Linked DNA regions of Astyanax mexicanus. The protein of the gene in region 1 purifies or fractionates together with the protein of each later gene. This does not show direct contact. Links are inferred from orthologs where the notes say so. Each region holds a gene or a part of one and is shown on either strand. Other genes may lie near its edges.

What was found. Proteins that work in one complex are often made in the same cells at the same time.
Region 2: the proteins of aicda (region 1) and ctnnbl1 purify together in Homo sapiens (affinity purification with western blotting; 3 studies listed by BioGRID, with this or other methods). This does not show direct contact. The link is inferred for Astyanax mexicanus from reciprocal best matches to the Homo sapiens genes AICDA and CTNNBL1.

What each region holds. Positions count from the first base shown.
Region 1 is NC_064413.1:6,983,302-6,990,570, reverse strand, and holds the start of aicda (single-stranded DNA cytosine deaminase), read right to left. Parts: upstream 3,041-7,269; 5' UTR 3,016-3,040; coding exon 2,803-3,015; intron 1-2,802. UniProt on the Homo sapiens protein: Single-stranded DNA-specific cytidine deaminase. Involved in somatic hypermutation (SHM), gene conversion, and class-switch recombination (CSR) in B-lymphocytes by deaminating C to U during transcription of Ig-variable (V) and Ig-switch (S) region DNA.
Region 2 is NC_064420.1:14,715,262-14,722,873, forward strand, and holds the start of ctnnbl1 (beta-catenin-like protein 1), read right to left. Parts: upstream 3,010-7,612; 5' UTR 2,879-3,009; coding exon 2,849-2,878; intron 84-2,848; coding exon 1-83. UniProt on the Homo sapiens protein: Component of the PRP19-CDC5L complex that forms an integral part of the spliceosome and is required for activating pre-mRNA splicing.

The sequences.
Region 1 (7,269 bases):
GAAACAAATAATTTAATAAATATATATAAATAAACAAAGAAACGAGAAACAAATAAACACGTAAACATAAAACAGGGAGATATATACAAGGAACTGGGGAATAAACCAAATAACTGAAAACAGATAAACTAATAACCAAAAACCGAGAGAAACTAAAGAACATAAACTAAACCAACTAGGAATATTAATAATAAATAACGAACAGGGCTAGGGAAATATATATACAAGGGAATAAACTAGAAATAAACAAGGAAATAAACTATAAACGAGAAAACAAGAAAAAAAAACGAGAAACAAGAGACTAGGAAACACTGAGAGAAGCTTTGAGACACAGAGAGACACAGAGAGACAGGTGAAGGTGCAAAGACCAACGAAGAACAAGTGACAGAGGAGGGCTATTTATACTAACATGAAACACACTAGAAGTGGAAACACCTGGGGAAGGGGCGGAGCTACAAATGAGACACGTGGTGGAAAACTACTGAGACAGGAGACACAGAGGAGCAGGGGTCACTTGGGAATAACACACAGGCACAAAGACAGCGAGAAACAGGGCGAGGACGTGACACCCTGTGTGAAAAAGGGTTTGCCCTCTAAACTTAATAGCTGGTCGGGCCACTCTTAGCAGAAACAACTGCAATCAAGCGTTTGTGGTAACTTTTAATGAGTCTTTCACATCGCTGTTGAGGAATTTTGGCCCGCTCTTCTTTACAGAATTGTTGTAATTCTACCACATTGGAGTGTTTTTTGAGCATGAACAGCCTTTTTAAGGTCATGCCGCAGCATCACAGTAGGATTCGGGTCAGAACTTTGACTAGGCCAAAGACACTTTGTACACACACTGACTTTAACTGAGACAAGTGAGGCCTGAAGTTATGTGGATGTTGTTGTGGGGTCTTTTGTGAACTCTTGAATGAGTCGTAGCTGTGCTCTTGGGGTAATTTTAGTTGGCCTGCCACTCCTGGGAAAGGTTTACCACTTGCCATTTGTGGATAATGGCTCTCACTGTGGTTCGCTATAAAGTCACAAAAAGACTGATAGATCTCAATTACTTTCTTTCTCATTTGTTTCTGAATTTCTTTGGATATCGGCCTGATGTCTAGATTTTGAGTATCTTTTGGTCTACATTTTCTATTTAAGTGATTTCTTTATTGAGAACAGGTGTGGCAGTAATCAGGCTTGATTGTGATTAGAGAATTTCAACTGTGATAAACCAAAGTAAAGTTATGGTTTAACTGGGGGGCAAACACTTTTTCACACAGAGCTGTGTAGGTTTGGATTTTTTTTCTCCCTTAATGATAAAAAACCTTTATTTACAAAATGCATTTTGGGTTTACTTGGGTTTGTCTTTGAATAATATTTAAATTTGTTTGATGATCTGAAACATTTTAGAAGAAAAAAAGAAGAAAAAGAAATCAAGAAGGTGGCAAACACTTTTTTCACACCACTGTATAAGTCAGGCTTTATTGTTTTGCCACTTTTTTTTGCTATCTCACACAGTTCTCTGCATGGTTATATAATTGTAACTGTGAGTCATACAGTGTCAAAAACCACATAACAGGCATTTCCAAACTACTTGGTTTTGAGGTGAGTCTCTGGTTTAGGAAGCTCTAGACTCCTATTACTTGTTACCTTTATACGTTAGCTTCACAGCTGCGATGCCAACAGAGAAAACCTCAGACACCAGTTTTTGGTGTCTTGTCTAGGGATGTCTCAATCTGATGCAATGACTCGGAATCAGTGCTGATCCTGGCATATTTGAATGAATCCGGACTCTGCTTTTTTAATCCCAATTCAGTTTACAACGCACAAGGTGCGTCACGATGCTCATTACTATCTTACATCCTTCCGACAGTCTATTTGGCTGTATTATATATACAAACACAAAGCTCAGATCAGAATTTTACTCAGCATTAAAGAAGAAATCCGGTGTAAAATGGACTTTGGGTGTAGTAAAACATGATAAAACTTACCTTTGTTGAACAGCACACATTCGCTTTCCTACAGCTTTTTGAGTCATTTTGTACTTTTTGCCCAGCACTCTGTACAAAGGGTGCATATCGTGCCATATTTTTCCCTGATAAATCACTTTTTACACCGTTATCCTGGCTTAAAATAGCTCCTCACCTTTTTGGTAGAATCTGGAGAGCTCTAACATTTGAACCGAGGCATTAATAAGTTTAAAAGTGCACAAGAAGCACTAAAGCATTAAAAAAACACTGTTTACATCCCATAACGCTAGCTTATCACAGGGTGGAGCCATCATTGTTCTGATCATGAGCATAGACATATATAGATTCCACATAGACATATATACATAGACTCCGCGTAGCCTGCCTCCTGGTGTAGCAGCCAGTGCCCAGTGCATTTATTTGCACTGGAGAAGGTGTTTAATACACCTATATTAATCTTCTTGTGCATTTTTTAAGTTATTAATGCCTCGTTTTAAATGTCAGGGCTCTCCGGATTCTAGCAAGGAGATGTGGAGCTACTTTGAGCTGGAGAACGGTGGAAAAAGCTATTTATCACCCGTTGTACAGAGTGCTGGGCAAAAAGCACTAAATGACTGTATTTCAGAAAGCTGTGTGGGAGAGTGGAGGTGTGTTATTCAACAAAGCTAAGTACTTTTTTATCATGTTTTACTACAACAAAAGTCTTCCTTTAAGAAACTCGGTTAAGATAACCTGATCAGGACATTCATAATCCTGGCTAATTTAATGCATGTGGAGCATCTAACACTCCCTGACGTCACTTCCGCATTTCCTTCTCCTGCAGTGTGCGGTCCGTCCGTCCATCACTCACCTCCACGTGGCAGCCGGAGCGGTTGCGCAGGTGCCCGAAGTCGAAGGACAGCGAGTTTGGTCCGATTCGCCTCTTCACCACGAAGCAGAGGTAAGTCTCATGCCTCCCACGAGCCCAGCGCACGTTCTTGTAGTGATAGATAAACTTCTTCTGGGTGAGCAGAATGCTGCAGTACAACAAACCCACCCACCCAAAAAATCCGGTGAGGAACATCGTTAGTGTGAATTAATGCTAAGTGCTGCTGTTATTAGCATTGTAGCATTGCCCATGCAAAGCAAGACAAGGGTGGGAGTTCTTCTGAGACTTTTTTAGCAGAAGGATCAGGTAAGTTCTACATCACTTCATTACTTCAGTCAGAATGGCATCAGAACAACAAAGAAAAGAAGTCAAATAAATATTGAAACCATGCGCTGCATTTAGTTTCAGGTTTCGGAGAATAGTGAGCAAGCGGTTTTAATTTTACGACAGCCACCGGTGCACTCATGCGTGCGGAGACTGCCTTAATATTACTCATTTGAGTATCTTTGCTTTGTATCTTTTCTAGACTTCCTAGGAGATTAAGGCTATATATATATATATATATATATATATATATATATATATATACTGTAATTTTAAATCTTTATGTTTTTCTTCAGTTCAGATGCAAAGATACAGTACAGAGATGTGCAGATTTTAGAGTGTGTGCCGAAAAGTTGAATAGTGCACCGTGCCGAGCTAATTAAAGCACACTAAAGCACAAACCAACAGTTTCTCAGTTTCATTCCCCGTCTAGTGAAAGTAGAGAGAGTCTGAAAATGACGTTGCATTACCATGATTATCATGATAGACACCTCATGACATTTTTCATTTCTATTCTCTCTATAAGTATAAATATAGATTAATTCTTAATGATACTAGAGTGCTTCAATAGTATGTCTCGCAGGATTTCTTCTCTCTATATATTTTTTCTCTTCTCAGCTTTATGTGTTTTTGTTTTTACTCACCTGTCCAGCTTGCTCGTCATTCCGAAAGACGAAAGTCACTCATTGATTGAGTCATGCAAAAAGTCAGTGAGAGTGCCGAAAGTGCATGGAGGAGGAAGGACGTATAGAAGAATCTGTGACATATCTCGATACACTTGAGCGAGAGGGGGTCCCTGATTGGGTGAGAGCTCTTTTTAAAAACGGTTTGGGAGGGCTAACGTGCATTTAAACTGCTCAGACAAAGACATGTTTATTTATAGCAACTGCTATTTAAAAGGACGTGCAGATAGAGGTTCACGTTTATCTGCTTCAGAGAGTCCTATTTTTTTGGCAGAACTTCTGTGCAGGGTCTAAACAAGCTGTGTGTCAATCTGCACATCTGAGCTGAATATATTTATTAGGAGGGGTGTCCTTATGTTAAAAAGGTTTGGCCACCCTTTATCATTTTCATGATTTTTCTTTATACATCATTGGTTCTTCAGATCAGCAATTTCAGTTAAATACTGTATATCATATAACAGATGAACACAGTGATATTTGAGAAGTTAAATGAAGTTTATAGGATCCACAGAAAGTGTGCTATAATTATTTAAACACAAAAAAGCAGGTGCATAAATGTTAAATAACTAATAGCACTAATTATTGGAATACACAATTTGTTTGGTAAGCTCTTTGACCCTTGACCTACAAACACAGGTGAATCCTGAGAATTATGAGAAAGGATTAAGGAGCCAATTGCAAGTTTTTCTCCTCTTTGCATCTTCTCTGAGGAGCTGCAACATGGGAGCCTCAAAACACAACTCTCAAAAGACCTGAAAATAAAGATTGTTCAACATCATGGTTTAGAGGAAGGATACAAAAAGCTCAAAACAAAAAAAATCTCAGATAATCAGAGGAGAAGGATGGTGAGAACAGTCAGACCAGCTCCACACACCTAAAACATCATCTTGTTGCAGATGGAGTCACCGTGCATCGTTCAACTATTTACTATTCAGCGCACTTTTACACAAGGAGAGGCTGTATGGGAGAGAAATGCAGAAGAAGGCTTTTCTGAGCACGCGCCACAAACAGAGTCGCTTGAGGTACGCTAAAGCTAAAATTGAGTTATTTGGAGGACGCTTATTTATGCATGACGGAAAAAGAAAACAGCATTCCAAAACAAACACTTTACTGCTCCCCACAGTAAAATGTGGTGGTGGTTCCATCATGCTGTGGGGCTGTGTGATTAGTGCAGGTACTGGGAATCTTTTTAAAGTTGAGGGTCTCATGGTTTCCAGTCAATATCAGCAGATTCTTGAGAACAATGTTTAAGAATCAGTGAGAAAGTTGTTGAAGTTGAGCTGGGGCTGGATACTTTAACAAGACAACGACCCTAAACACTAAACACTGCTCACAATCTACTAAAGCACTAAATCATTCATACAGAGGAACAAGTACAACATTCTGGAAAGATCATCTCAGTCCCCAGACCTGAATATTATTGAAATATAATCTGTGGTGTGATGTAAAGCAGCTGTTCATGATCAGAAACCTGAATCAAACCTGACTGAACTGGGGATGATTTGTAAAGAAGAATGATCCAAAATACCTTCAACCAGAAGCTTCAACCAGACTCTCATTGGAAGCTATAGGAAGCGTTTAGAGGCTGTTATTTCTGCAAAAGGAGAATCTACTAAATATTGATGTCATTTTTCTGTTGGGGTGCCCAAATTTGTGAATCTGCCTAATTTAGTTTAAAGAATTATTGTACACTTTCTGTAAATCCTATAAACTTAATTTAACTTCTCAAATATCACTGTGTTCACCTGCTATATGATATATTTAACTGAAATTGCTGATCCGAACAACCAATGATTTATAAAGGAAACTCATGAAAATTATTAGGGGTGTCCAAACTTTTTCACACCACTGTATATTTGGACATATAGTGAATTTTGAAATGTATATAAAGCCGTGTACAGATGTCTGAGCACATCAGTGTCATTCACATGCTGCTGTTTTTGGCAGTGTTCGCCTGTGTGTCTGTTTGAGTACAGCGCATTGTCTTGCTGGGCCAAAGTGCAGTGTTTGCGGTAAACTAAAGGGAAAAAAAAAAAACTCCTTGCCTTCAAGCCAATTTACAGTTTATTTTGCAGTTTAATGATTTGAAAATAAAATAAAAGAAAATGCAAGAATTGTATCATACACTATATTGCCAAACATATTCAATTACCCGGCTTATTCATTGAGTTCAGGTGTTTTGATCACTTCCATAGCCACATGTGTATAAAAGTAACCCGCTAAGTATTCAGACTGCTTCTACAAACATTAGTGAAAGAATGGGTCGCCATCAGGAGCTCTGTAAATCTGTCAATCTGAGAGTAGGCCTGTCACGATAGCAATTTTTTGCGAACGATATTTTTTTCCCAGAAATTATTGCGATAAACCATATTGTTGGCATTTTTAGACCACTAATTTGGCACTAATAAAATGATAAAATAGTATCATAACAAAGGAATGAACTCTTTTAAAGACAATAAACTTTCCATTCCTTTTCACACACCTAAGTTTGGAACCGCACCTAATTTTGCCAAGTGCAGCCACGGTCTGTCCCAGCTGGCATGCGTTGAACCAGCATAAAGACCCTGCCTGGTGACGGTGAGAAGAATTAAAGGCAACACGAACCTAAGAAACACTAAAGTGAAGCGACTAGAGCCTCACTGGGCCGTTGTTATGTTTCTTTATGCTTGTTTTGGGTGTGGATGGAGGCCATTTTTCCTAATAGTATTGGGAAAACCATAAGTTTTGAGTTCATTCCCTACTTGTTTTTGTGACTCTCTGTGCTTCTGCACTCCGGGGTCACGGTGGCCACACCCACAGTCACAGTATATGTAAGTGCATTTTGTAAGTGCCAACACAATGGGCAATATCACGATTATTAAAATGATTGAAGTCATGTCAATTCATTAAACGATAAGTCGGCCTATCTGAGAGTCTAAAAGTTTGGCATTTGCCAGGTGAAGGGTACTTCTGACTGAACTGACTGCATTGTGACAGGTGTAAAGTTTGGTGGAGGGGGGATTATGGTTTTGGGTTGTTGTTTTTTTAAGGAATTTGCCTTGGTCTTATTTAATATTGGATTCCATATTTCAAGGATTTTGCATGACAGTGAGAATTAAAACTTTTTTTTTTATAAGCATTAGTGATGTCAAGTGATAAAAACATGTTCTGTGATTGTGAATAAACCTAAAATAAAGTTCATTACTTGCTTTTAGCTATGAATGTATTTGAAATTGTAGAATTCCCTATTCAGTACATCCATGATTAAATAACTGGCATAGACTTGAATTCGCTTAAAATCTCTTTATTTCAGATGCATAGCATACCAGGCATCTGTATACCAGGTGTGAAATTTCCTCATTTAAGCGATAATACACTTGATGTTGGTGCTATAATGTGTAATATTGGAACTGCTATGTCGCGGTCGTAGCTCAGCACAGCAGTGCCAATATTACATGTTATA
Region 2 (7,612 bases), on another chromosome or scaffold:
GCTTCTCGGCTGGATGTTTTCTGTTTGGCCCGAGGTTCATCGCCGCCATCTTCTTCCTTGGGTCGCTTTGCTCCTCGGTCAGGCTGTAAATGAGGAGAACACAAGGTGAATGAAGTTATATAGGACAAGGAATAACTGTTAATAGAATAACTGGTAATAATGATCATTTTATCAAGATTCTGGTCACAATATTTGTAAAACATAATTAGCATTTGTTATGGCATAAGCTTTTTAAACAAAAATATTAGCCTTTCACAGTGGTGCTTGAAGTTCAAACTTAGAGATTTCTGCATAAACTTGACCTAAAGCATCATAAGATCAGACACAAATTTACTAAGTACATGAGAAGAACCAAATCAAAGATATGAGACAAAACAGAACGCTTCCAATTAAGAAAATTCAATTCAATATTAAACATCTCTGAGTGTCAATAGTGTGTAATCCTTAAGAAAAAACAGATCATTCAAAATTAGAGTCAGGAGTTTCCAATCAATGGTATGATTAATCAAGTGTGAGTGGTAGGAGCCAGTTTTTGGTAAAAAAAAAAAAAAAAAACGTGAATCTATCAAAGTTTGAGCTTCACAACACCAAAAGATTTCTAAGGAGCACACGAAAAAGGTTGTTTAGGGCTGCATGATATTGGGAAAAAATATATATTTATCACACTACTGCAATATATCTATACTGCAATATTAAATACAAGATCACCAGATTTCTACAAATGTCATTGAATCAGCATATAACACATAAAAGCATTTCATGTATTTAAAATAAAAGGCACTTGGAGTAATCAAATACAATCTGAAAAAATGCAATTAAACTTTAAAACAGTGCTGAATTTACTTTTGGATTAAGAAAGGTGTGGCATGATTAAATTTGCCTTAAGTAACCTTGCTTATTTTTTCAGTTCCGGATTTCTTCTTTTTTTATTATTATTATTATTTCCTCCTTTTTTCTCTTTATATTTGAAATCCATTAAACATTCGGTTTTGTGATTAAGTCCCTGTTTCATGCATTGCAAAAATCAGAGTGTCCCTACATTGCAGGTCCTGCAATATAACTATTTAGCTTGTGCACACTGCAAAGATGATACTCAAACAATATAGTGTGCAGCCCTGAGGTTGTTGATGCTCATCAGGCTAGTAAAGATACTAAATTCATCTCTAAACTGAGAGGACACCACCACTCCACAGAGAGACAGATCCCCAGACGTGATCCACCAGCAAACACCCAGGCATGCAATAGTCTGTGCAATCACAAAGAAACCCAAAAGAACATCTTAAGCAACTAAAGGCCTTTTTGCACACTGGCTAATGTAAAAACTTATGAGTCCACCATCAAGCCACTAAACAACAAAGGTGAGCATGAAGGCAGCTCGAAAACCTTCTCAATAAATCTTTAAAATAGCAAGAGTGAATCATGAAAACCATCACGGACCATCACTAAATTTTGCATTTTATTTAGAAATCATTGGACCAGCGGCTGGAGGAAAAGTGGAGAGACACACAGTCCAAAGTGCTTGAGGTCTAGTGTGAAGTTTCTATAATCAGTGATGGTTTGGATAGACATGTATGCTGGTGTTGATCCACGGTGTTTTATCAAGTCTAAAGTCAGTGCAGAGTTTTCCAGTTGCTGACAACTTTTATGGAGATGAGGATTTCATTTTCCAGCAGGACTTGGCACACTGCCCACAGTGCCAAAAGTACCTATTGGTCTTATATATATATATAATATTCTAACGCTTATAATGTATCAGTCTGTGTGTAATACATCTATATAATATAATATAGAGTTTCACATTCTGAACTGAATTACTGAAATAAAGTAACTTTTCAATTATCTCAATTTTTTTAAGATGCACCTGTATGACTGCTCTTTACACAGTTGCAAGACAAAGTATTGGAACCGTTTGAAATGTCTTGGATTTCTGCATAAATTTGTCATAAAATGCGATCTGGTCTTCATCCAAGTCAAAGGTAGACAAATATAATGTGCCTAAAATAATAACACACAAACAAACTATGATCTTGGACACACTCATTCAACACTCAAAGTGATAGCAGAAAAACCAAGCGAATCTTTGGAATCAATAGCTGGTATTTTAGTAGTCACAGTCCCAAACAGTCTGCATTTGTAAATTGTTTGCCTTATTGTAGATCTGAGAATTTCTTCAGCCTCTGAATTCTCTTCCTAATCCTTTCCAGCTTTTGGTAAATCAACAACTTTTGATTTCAGATCCTTGATACGCGTATCTTTTTGTGCAGAGTTTTTTTTTCCCCAGTCAACTTAGCTTCAGTAAGTTACACACCTCCAAACAAGCAAGACGCCAGGTATGCTAGCACTTGACTCTGACTAGGTAAGTTAGCTTCTTTGAGGTCAACACAAGGGTTCAGATACTTTTTCTTGCCACTGTAGTTTGGTAACATAACCTATTTAAGCTGTGTGTGTGTGTGTGTGTGTGTGTGTGTGTGTGTGTGTGTGTGTGTGTGTGTGTGTGTGTAAACCGACTGTAGCTCTCTCTGTATTAGTAAGTTAATAAGAGCTCCTAAGAGAAGCTAAATTGACAAACTAAAGGGTTGTATGAACGCTATTAGATAAACACATACAGCTTATTAATATTATAGCATTTTTCTAAGCAAGGGACTCTTGTAAAAACAGTGCCAGGAGGGGTTTAAAGCACAGTAACAGCAGTAATCAGGAGCTGCACCGGTCTGTTAGCTAGTTAGCTAAGCTAACTAACATGCTCGAGCTGCTGCTGATGTTGTTGTTGCCGGGTGATGCTAACTCACTCACTCCACAGCTATTTTATCATTTAACACAAAACTAAAGGAGTTAAAGCCGTAAATACCTGGTAATTCAGCAGCTCTCCAACATCCATACTGCACACACGCCTCCTCTACTCCAATAGAAATCCTGTTTTAAGGGTAAATATCCCCACACTGCCCGTTTACCGCAAAACTTCTGTGTTCTCGCTCAGTGTCGCTGATCCGGAGCGGCTTCCCGAACATACCGCCCCCTACAGCCCCGGAGAGAAAACAGAAAACACACACACACACACACTATTTATTGATTGCTGCATTTCTACATTTAATTATTTATATTTTTCTGCATCTATTTATTTATTCCTTTATTTATTTTAACATTTATTTATTTATTCCTTTATTTATTTTTTAACATTTATTTATTTATTAAAACATTTATTTCAACATTTATTTATTTATTTTAACATTTATTTATTTTTAATTTATTTACACATTTCTCCATATATTCTACTCTAACGTTAGAATAGTTAGAAGCCGGTTGCTTCTGTCTGTATGACCAGTTGACCAATCCTGCTTTAGAGCGAGGATAGGACCGCCTACCTAATTAACATACAAGTGCAGAAATAATAAAAGAAGAAATGTGAAAATAAATAAATAAATAAAAAACATAAAGAAATGTGGGAATTAATCAATGAATACATAAAGAAATGTGGAAATAAATAAATGCCTAAATAAATAAATGCAGAAACAGCCTCAAATAAAGGTTTATGCATAGAAATATGAAAAATTATTGATATGAAATATTAATGATATCATTTTTAGTGTGTACTTTTTTAATGACAAAATGTATTTATAAAATAATTTATTTATGTATACAATTATGTATGCATGCATTTATTTATTTATTTATATATTTATTCATTTTTATGGGCATTTATTTATTTTGTAAATAATATTAATTTCATAAAATTTTTCATTGTCTTCATTATGTCCACCCTATTGTGGTAAAATGTCAAAATAAATTAAGGGTGCTTTTGGATCTACCTTGTTTGGTCCAAATTCAGCACAACACCTAACAAAGCGAATCAAAAAACAAGTCTTCAAACAAGTTAATATGAGGTATGGAGATGACGCCTGCAGATAACGACACAAAAGTTATTTTATTCACTGTTCACTAAACTGTGGTGTGAAACCAGAACTCACCAGACCAAATATACACAATAGATGACAAGACATGAATCTTTGTGCAGACTCTGGTCCAGAAGCCCCAAAATTATTTTAGAAATAAGACTCTATCTTTAAAACAGAACAAAGTAATCATTAACAATTCAACATACTCTACTTTCACTTAAACTGTTCACCTTGTCAATTTGAGTGGATGCATGTATGACTGGAAATGTAGTCTGAAGTCTTATAAATAGAATAAATAGTCAAAAGAATTAAACACAGTTGGTTCTGATAAAGAAACACATTTCTTTGTTATGCCAGTATATAACACAGTTGGTTGCCATAAAAAAAACTCTATTTAAGGAAGTGTTCAAATATGAATGACACATATTTGAGTGTGTTTTCAGTGGCTGAGTTAATGCTGGTATTCAGATTGAGAGATGATGAGAGGAGTATGTACGATGCACAGTGAGGGGGGGGGGGGGTTCATGGATGCAGGCGCATCCTTGAAGGACCTACAGAGAGGATTGTAGCACATCTGCATGCGTGTTAGAGAGTCAGATTGAGGATTCAGAGCAGGCTGGTGTTTTGAGTCAAGAAGAAGATTACCTCTTGTTGTGTCACGTCGTGGATTTAAAGATGTACTCGCACTAAACAATCCATGCAATGCCTGGGCACGGTTACCTCTCAAAGCACGGCTCGTTTTACTACTTCACAGTACGCATGCAGTGTAAGCACTACCCGTGCCCAAGCATGGACCAATATGATGTCAGTGATGTGACGTTCCTATAAACAAACATGGCTCTGTTGTCCCAAATTCAGCACCCCCGCCTGGAAAAGCGCCCCCTCTCGGGCGCTTTGTCGCTTTGTATGTAAGCATGACTGAGATAACTGTGATTTTTGGTGTGTATTTCTAAATAAGTTGAAGTGTATTATCTCCACTTTAATCAAGAAGACAGTGCAGTGTGTACATGCTCCCGAGAGAGGGTGCTTTTCATGGCAGGGGTGCACAATTTTCACATCACCGGCAAGCCCACTAAGCAGTGAGAGATGACGTAAGCGTGCTCGGGCACGGATTGTTTAAACACAGTTTGAGTGCAGGCCAGTGGGGGAGTGGGGAGGGGGCAGAACCGTGCTCCAGCACAAATCAACCATGCTTAGTGTGAGTACACCCTAAGATTGCCATCCAACAGCACATTACACAATATTGTGCACATTTAATCACCATGGAAACATGCCCACATGTAGATGTTGGACAGTGCTATGTTTACAAATGATTTAATGAGACACAAACAGATATAAATGTTTATATACTTTATAATACTACTGCTTTTACTACTGTTAATGTGCGTGGCAGCCATCTTGGATTCTGAACTCAGGGTTGGTGACTCTGAGGAAGATATGAAAAGTGTGTAAAAGATGTTTTTATTTTTTTAAGGAAAAAATCTATCCAAACTAACCTGACCCTAAATGAAAATATTTGCCCCCTAAACCTATTAACTTGATTGTGCCACAAAGCAGCCAGGATCATTGCACTACCACCACCATGTTTTATGTTCAGTGTGATGTTCTTTTTCTGAAATTATGTGTTATTTTTACACAAGATGTTACAGGACACACGTCTTCCAAAGGGTTCTGTTTTGTCTCATCAACAGAATGTTTTCTGAAAGTCCTGGGAATCATCAATAAAATAGCTGTTGAAATTTGAGGTTAGCATAGCTAGCTACTTTTTAATTCACTTTAAATACAGTATGACCAGAAACCATTTAATATTCTAACACAAACGCAGAAGAAACAAACTCTGAAAGGTAGGCATGCAGGAATAAGCTGGATTCCATCATAACATCATATAAGTAGTGGGCAGTTAGTATTTTGGCTGCACTCTGTAAAAGTATCAAGCACTTGGGCAGTTCCTGGACCAGCTGTTTTTTGTTGGCTACATGCTTCTATTGTCACACCATGGTAACTTGTGGTCAATGACAATAAAATAAACCAGGCAAGGTATGACCAGCAAGGTTTGTGTTTGTAATAAAGTGGACAGTGAGAACACAACGCTGTCCGTCTCTAAAAGCTCATGAATGGCACACTCAGCAGCGTAATGAAGGTCATTCTTTGTGAGAAGTGAAGCTAATTGTCCATAACGGAGTGTCTCCATCGGTGTGGGTTTCCTGAGTAACAGTAGGAGGGTTGTTAACGGCGCTGTAATGACCCTGCTGTTGTAGGGAGGACGCAACAGCTCCACTACAGCCGTTAAGAGCTCACGGGAGGTCATGCAAATCTTGATGAATGTGACTCCAGGGTTGGTACATAAAACAATGGCAACATAAACAAAGCTGTATAAATGCAAATCTGCCTGATCAAACTTATGTATATATTTCAGCATTAAAAATCCAAAAGAGTGATCAAATACAGGCAGAGTTGGGGGCTCCAAGTGGTTCAGCGGGCTAAGCGCTGCCACTATGATCAGGAGATCGCAGATTCGAATCCTGTTCATGCAGCTTCCCAACGGTGTCGGAGGGAGCACAACTGGCTTTGCTCTCTCTGGATCAGTAGATGGCTCTCTCTCCCCTCATCATTCCAAAGGGTGATGTCGATCAGCACAAGGTGTCTGTAAGCTCATGTATCAGAACCGCTGTGCTTTCCTCTGAGTGCGCTGTAATGCTACTCAGCAATGCAATGAGTGGGTTGGGTAGTGGTCCAATTAAAATGGGGAGAAAATGGGAAAAAAGTATAAAAATTATACAAATACAGGCAGAGTTGGCAACGTGAGGAGAACATACAAAAATAGGGACATACCAAAGTGTAGTTAGACAGTTTAGGTAGATACACGGAAAAACAAGGTCATACATGGAAAACTGAAACAACAGGTAGGAGAAATGCTTTGTAATGTTGGACAAAACCAGAATAATACTCTTTGACACACAAAAGAGACAAGGGGCTATGTATAGTGCTAAAGATAGGTGCAAACAATTAGAAAACAGGTGATGTGCATCTGGGGAGAGTGGTCATGTGATTGTGACTGTGTGTGTGATCAGAGTACGGTGCATTCTGGGAAAAGGAGTCCATTGGAGAGAGTTAGGAGAGTTAAGAACATTGTCCTGCTGAAATATGAAAGATGGAATGGCAGGAAACACATGCACATATCGCTAAGATGTTAGTTCTCCTCATATCACTACTAGAGGTGACTGAGAGCATCATAGAGGGATGTCATCATCGCAGTCAATGAACTTTCACCAGGAGGTACACTTCCCAAAAGTAGTATCTTTTTCATAGAAAAGAGGGGGGAGCACTTTACAGATTTCTTTTTTTTTTTGCTATTTTGTCATACTTACATTTTTCAGATTATCAAACAAACTTCAGACAAATATAACCTAACTACCGTAAATACAAAATTCAGTTTTTAAATGATAATTTCATTTATTAAGGGAATTAACTGTGATCATTAACTGTGATTAACTGTGATGCCACATCCAGACTAAATTACTGCCAGACCTGTAGAATTAAGAAATTACTTAAATAGAACCTGTCTGACAACATGAAGCAGCTAAAAGATTTCAAAAAGTCACATATTCTGCCGAAATCTGAGGAAATTCAAAAACAGAAGAGAAAACAAAGTCATTGACATCTATCAGTGTGGGAAAGGTTACATTTCTAAGTAATTTATAAGACTTTGGGACTCCAGC